2 linked regions of the Schizosaccharomyces pombe genome follow. The gene in region 1 interacts genetically with each later gene. Each region holds a gene or a part of one and is shown in the gene's direction. Other genes may lie near its edges.

Region 1 (3,171 bases):
AGGTTTTTCCATACACTAACAGAAAATTCTTGACTACCTCTCCAAAGTCAAGTTGTACAAATCATGAGCATAAATCGCACACATTCTACTCATCAATCCCATTGCCAAGAGTTAAAGTATTTTGAGGATATGCGTTATTAAGTGTATCGTGTAAGCTACGCAGTTTGGTATCTGATTTAAGGATACGAAGAACTGCGGTGAGTTTTCCTTGTGGTCTATTATATTACAATACACAGGTTGTATAAGTAGCAACTGAGTATAGGTATTGTATTAACTGGGCTATAATGTTACCTATCACTAATATAGCTCATAACTGAACTGAGGAACGAGGTTCAGTTGTAACGCTATTTATAATATTTCTAAATAGTTGTTATCAACGGGTATCTATGTATATAGACGGATAGTTACCCGTGATTATCAATAAACGGATCTTAGCTAGTATTCCAACATATGACATATAGTGATACGCAACGTAGTGTATCATAGCGTAGTGTAGTATTGCTGACATATCGTAATGTACCCAATTACGGTAGAATGATTAAGAGAATTGTATTTAGGAATATACCGCCTTTAGTATTATGCGAAACGCTATTTTTTGTAATGAGCCATTTCTTTCGCGCACTAGCAAAATAGTCTCATATTGCTACTTCACGAATAGCAAAAATAAGTCATATAAAATAAGTAGCTCAAGGTAATTACTGTTTTCGGCATAATACTTTATACATCTTGGCAAATTTCTTATATAAACAGCGTCCCCCTCAGAGAACTTTTTCTGTTTTCTACCAAAATAATATGTAGGTAGATCGATGGATAGAAGCGATTAACGTATTTGCAAAACAGATCATCAGGATTTTTTTTAACTCCAAAATAACCATAGTGTCACTCGCTTCCTAGTACAAAGCATTACTATGGTTATGTTATTTTATTTTTTAAAAGCTCAATGATATTATCAGCAGTTGTACTTGCGATTCTTTCTCAAAAATGCATACTGAGAGGTTTGTTCATTATGGGAAAATTATGAGTTCACGAATATTTCTTTCTAGAGCGAATTTTATTATCCTCCTCACGTCGATTGAAGCTTCATAACAATTTGACTGTTACAAGCGATTGCTCCTAACAACTTCCGTGAACGAACGGGCTTTGCAAGTCTACCGACCGGCCTTAGGCTCTTCACACCTAGACTCAAAACGCTAATCTATATACATGTAGGACTTTTATTCTGCGAACTCTAGTGGGATTTACTGAACCAAATGGGGGTTTGATATTTTAGCTAGTCTATGCATTTGAATCTCTATGCAATGTTTGTCTACTCAAGTTTCCCTTTCTTTGAAGATCTTTACCCCCATTAGCGACCTTACTTCAACGTGGTCATTCTTACCTTACGCTAAATGTTTTAACGTCTACGAAAACGAGAACGACGATTGCTATTACCGCAACTTTAGATATCGTTATTTATTCTTCGAGTGGCGCGTTATCATCTTTAGCGGAATTTCAATTCCGCGAAGGAGCACGTAATATGATTACGAATACTGGTGGAGTAAGCCAACGCCAAGCTGAGGTGATGCTCGGCGTAGCTTATTGGCCTATTTTGGAGGCTCGAAGGCACGGACTAGACAATGCTTTGTAAAGCAAATTTGTTAAATCGATAAGTATAAAGACAATTTCTTCGTTTTTAGAATATAAAAAAACATTGGTCATATCGAAAAATTGATTTGAGTTGATATCGTTAAAATTTCATGTATATTCCGCGTGGAGCTATTTACTATATAAGCGATGACACGCCGCCCTATCCTCTTCCAATTCCAAACAAAATTTTCGAAATCTCCAACTTTGAAGTGTGGTTAAAATCTTATTGATTTTCCTTCAAAACACTTAATTACTCAAAACACCCCTTCTCTTGTTGTATTTTTTTAAAGTAAATTATCGTCATACAAAATGGTTAGAGCTGTAGCAGTTCTTCGTGGTGACTCTAAGGTCAGTGGTGTCGTTACTTTTGAACAAGTCGATCAAAACTCTCAAGTTTCTGTGATTGTGGATCTCGTTGGCAATGACGCTAATGCCAAGCGTGGTTTCCATATTCACCAATTCGGTGATAATACCAACGGTTGTACCTCTGCTGGTCCTCACTTTAACCCAGAGGGTAAGACTCACGGTGACCGTACCGCCGCTGTTCGTCACGTTGGTGATCTTGGTAACTTGGAAAGCGATGCTCAGGGCAACATCAAGACTACTTTCTCTGATTCTGTTATCTCATTGTTTGGTGCCAACAGCATCATTGGCCGTACCATTGTCATTCATGCCGGTGAGGATGATCTTGGTAAGGGTACTAGTGAAGAGTCTTTGAAGACTGGTAACGCTGGTGCACGTAACGCTTGTGGTGTCATTGGTATTGCCGTCTAAATTTATTGAGTTTTTACGTCTTTTTGTTCAAATGGCTGTGGGTTTAGGTGTTGGTTAGTATTGTTATCATTTAGTTGAGTGATCTCAAATTTCTTTTTTTTTATGAAAAGTTCCGTATATTATGCTTCTATAGGTTCTGTATTAAAAAACTTAATTTAATTGATGATGATAAGTACTGTAGCTTTGTGGAAGCTGTTTGTTACTATTATGTTATATGTGTAAAAAAATGTAGTGATGTATTTTTGTCCTTAAGACTCTGCGTTCGAGTTTACATAAAATTCAGTTAATTAGAAGGAATTGTTGTAACTTTGTTTCGGTATTGATAATGAAGAAGCAAAAGCAGCAACAATTTTTGATCTTTTAGTCAGAAAACTTTGTTTTGCATCGTTGAGTTCGTGCATAAAGATGATAGAAAGTGCTTTTCGTATTGTTTAAAAAAAGATATATAGAATGTTGATTAATAGATACACACATAGTAGCAATATCAACACATCTTGTTAAAATTCTAATGGGTGAAGCCTTTTTTTTTATTAATCATAATACCATCGTTTCATCTTTGTTGATTTTGTTATTACTTTTACGTATCAATGAATTTTTACGAACTAATTTCAACTAAACAATAACGACAGGCAAGTTTGTGTAAACTGAAAACATCTGCACAAGTTGTATTTTAAAATAAATTTTATTCTATAAGTCTAAAGGTTCACATCCAGTGTGAACAATTAATAAAATAAGTGGTTAAATAATAACCAACTAATTCAAAAAGATGCA
Region 2 (3,762 bases), on another chromosome or scaffold:
ATTGTGTGAAACTTTTGATAGTAAGGTGGTTTGTGATCCTGTTGCCCTAACCGTGTTGGCAGACGCGTCCCATCATCGTCTGTTCCGGCGGCTTAAAACACATTGGAGTATTGAAGAGGCATCTCGGGGACGTGTTCGTGTTGATTTAGAGGTGGATTTTGAATTTGCAAGCAAACTCCATGGCATGATGAGCAAGTTTGTTGGATCTTCTGTAGCTTCTGAAATCATTCAAGGATTCGTCCAACAGGCTAAAATAAAGCATAAGCTAGAATCAGAAAATGAGAAATAATTACAATGATCCTGCATACAAAGGGGCTATGCCGCTATTCTTTCCATCTCAGCGTTTTTCCATCGTCTCTCTTTCAACCAAAGAAGGATATATTTTTATAAAAGGTTTCTTTTAGGAAATCATGGCTTCAGTAAGCTAAATTTTGGATCCTTCTCTTCACCTTATGTATTTATTTTATTTCATTTTTTTGGATACTCGCCAATATCATGGTATAGTTTGCTTTACTGCAATTTTTTTGATGCACAACAAAAAACTTGGTAAATTATTTCTCTACTATTAAATCAAGAGCTTAGGAGGAATTCTCATTTCTTAAAGAAACTTTACTTTGACGAAACTGTATTTTTTTTTTTGTTTTAACAATATGTCTTGAATATGCCTTCCTTTTCTTGAGTCACTGATAACCAAATATATATAATTATAGGGGTGTCTCTCTTTCTATTTAGTGCTGAAATATTGCGGATGAGCTTTGCCTCTAAAGTTGATAACCAGAGATCAGGAGTCCTTGAAGGTCAACTGTTTACAAAATTATCCTTCCTTGCTTTTGAATAGAAGGTGAAATTGGTTATGGAATGCTTCATGAAGATTTGCATTCAAAATGCATCCAGAACAATCACAAGTGTTATTTAAAAGTAAAGAATCCCTGAAGGAAAGAAAAAGTGATCTATGATGATCGTTGTTAAAAAGTCTATCAAATTTGGTCTACTGAGATATATCTAGGGAAAGCAAAATCATTTAAGTAAGACAATTCATGAAATACCCGGAGCACCTTTATAGTCGACTTTTCTTTCGATGATAAACATGACATGATTTCCATTATAGCTACAGAAACGAATTTTATGAAAAACAATCTTGTGTTTACCAACATTTTAATATCGTGCTCTATTAAACTGTGCAATATGCAAATACGGTGTTTGCCGATTTGCATTAACGGGAAGTATTTCTCCAGTAAATAAATGAAGCAAAGTGTTTTTATGTAAAATCCTTTTATCGCTTTTAACTTATAAGGATTTACTTAGTATATAAAGTTGCTGAATGGAGCCTTAAAAGTTCTAGCTGTTTTTTCGTGAAATAAACTATAGCATCACCATTCCATAGGTCCATTAGAAGTTGTGGAAATTATCCATGAGCATTTTTATATAGTGAAATTAGAATAATTTTTATCATTGAAAATAAATTATTAATTTAGTTCATTTCGAGGATGAAAACAAGTTTTATTATAATATACCTCTTATTTATACCGCATTGTTTACATCGCACGATATAACCAAACGAATCCAGTTAACGATAGCTACAACAGCCATCGGTATTAAACTATAGTGATTTGATAAGATGTTTCGAAATATATACTGGATAATATAATCACTGTCCGCTATCATAACCTTAAAAAGAAATCTCCTCTACAACTGCATTACTTGTTTACTGTGATAGTACTAAGAAATTCTCCACGTAAACCAAAATCTATTTTTTTTTCGAAATCTCGTATTTTATATACATAGGTTTCCCCTGTCATTTTAAAGTTCTGATTGTTTCTTTGACCTTATGGAAACCCATTTTACAATGCATTCAGTATAACGCTATCTAATCCATTCTCATATACAGTATAACGTAGTTATAAGTATATTGATTTGCGATCTCTATCATATTACAACGAAATACAATCCAGTCTGCAAAGCCATGACTTATATGACGAACTAGCTACATTTCTTTCTCCATTAAATCGATTAAAGAAGTATGGCACAAGACGATTCTTACGAAGAGAAACCTGAAGTTATATCCAGCGACTCGGGAGGAAGTGGTTATTCAACTGAAATCCAGATCGTCGGTACAGTAACTTCCTCGGACGGTTCGTATGTTGAGTATGAAATTGTACACCAGGTATGTGGCTTGAGATCCTTGGTATCTATGAGTTTAGCTGCTAATTTTTATACTGTAGAAGCGTTCCGTTTGGCGGAGATATTCGGATTTTGAGTCCTTGGTTAAGTTGATGCGTCGGCAGTATCCCGCTGCAATTGTTCCTCCTATACCGGGAAAACAATCACTTTGTAAGTTTTCCAATATATTTAGATATAATATCTTTCATCGCGTTTTTTCATTTTCTTTTCAAACGTTTATTAACATGGGCTGTGTGCAATTCATTGTACACACATGCTCCGCTGTTTAGTAAGTTATGCCAAACATCCACGAAAAGCTAAAAGTGATGCTGAATTCTTAAATTTTCGCTCCAGGATGCTAGAATTGTTTCTTCGTCAGTGTCTTTTGCATCCATGCATTCGTTCCAATCCTATTTTCGATAAGTTTATTCATAGCACTGTTTCTTGGCACGTGACTTTATCATCTTTAGATTTACCAAAGGATTCAAATACTGATCCACTCCGCCTTCCTCCTATTGCTACTGAGCATGACCCATTCGCTCATTTGCGCTCTTCCATGCCACTTGTAATGGCCAACTCATTAAGTCCCCCTTCGTCTCGCGCATTAAAGCCAATCCATTCCTTATCTAATCCTTCAACTGCTTCGAGTTTAGAACCTTCTTCTCCTTTGGGCTCTGAGGATGAATGTCATCCCCCAACAAGCGATATGCAACCTACGCATGAATTGAATGAAAGTCCTTCTACCCCAACGGCACCAGACTTTCCACATTACAATAGCTCACCTTCGGAGTTATCTCCCACACAGCGTCGTTCCAGCATTTCTAATGGTAAAGACGCACCCTCTCCAGTACTCAAAGATTTGACTTCCTATACTCAAGAAGTGATTGTTTGTCGGAAATTCCTTCATCATAGTCTGAGTCCTTCCATACATTCAACTTTATCTAGTATTTCTAAAATGGAGTCTTGCCTTTCAAAGTTAGGATCGGCATTTCACTCTTTGACTGCTCTCAATGAAATACAATTAGCAAATCATTTGCAAGTGATTGCTAATGCCTTTGAATTCAGCGGAATGTACGCCAAGGAATTCGAACAAGAATTTAATTCCTCCGTCTATGAAAAAATGGTTCAGTCTATGCAGCTGGCGAAGTGTGCCGCAGATGCTCTTAAGTATAAGCAATTGAAGATACAACAGCGAGATTTTCTTCAAGACCAGCTCATCCACTCTAACACAATGTCTGCTACCGACTCTATGGTAGCTGCTTCACCCACGATACACCCGGCGACCAGATTGAATACTATTCAACGAGCAGTTGTCTCCCAAGCCAAAAAGGGTTACACAATTTTTGGTCGCTTACAAAACGTTTTACATGACTTTGTAGAAGGTGAAACCTCCATTAGCAAAGAAAGTCTCCAGCAGCATAAGAATACCATAGAGAATCAACTAGCGGCTGCAAATTGGGATTGTCAAAAAATTGACGAATTCATGGATGCAGAGCTTAAATTCTACAAAGAATGTCAGACGTCGCAGTGGGAAGAAATAATTAAATCTGTTCATGAATGTATCTACAAATGGGCACAAACAAATTTACAACGATGGTTGCG

What was found. A genetic interaction does not mean that the proteins touch.
Region 2: mutations in sod1 (region 1) and atg20 together harm fitness less than expected from each alone (positive genetic interaction), as found in Schizosaccharomyces pombe (one large-scale study listed by BioGRID).

The regions. Positions count from the first base shown.
Region 1 is NC_003424.3:1,002,228-1,005,398, reverse strand, and holds sod1 (superoxide dismutase Sod1), read left to right. Parts: upstream 1-1,798; 5' UTR 1,799-1,935; coding exon 1,936-2,400; 3' UTR 2,401-2,561; downstream 2,562-3,171. UniProt on the Schizosaccharomyces pombe protein: Destroys radicals which are normally produced within the cells and which are toxic to biological systems.
Region 2 is NC_003421.2:881,372-885,133, forward strand, and holds the start of atg20 (sorting nexin Atg20), read left to right. Parts: upstream 1-2,000; 5' UTR 2,001-2,020; coding exon 2,021-2,164; intron 2,165-2,222; coding exon 2,223-2,331; intron 2,332-2,450; coding exon 2,451-3,762. Other genes in the region: ubiquinone-binding protein Coq10, read left to right, coding at 1-289. UniProt on the Schizosaccharomyces pombe protein: Required for cytoplasm to vacuole transport (Cvt), pexophagy and mitophagy. Also involved in endoplasmic reticulum-specific autophagic process and is essential for the survival of cells subjected to severe ER stress.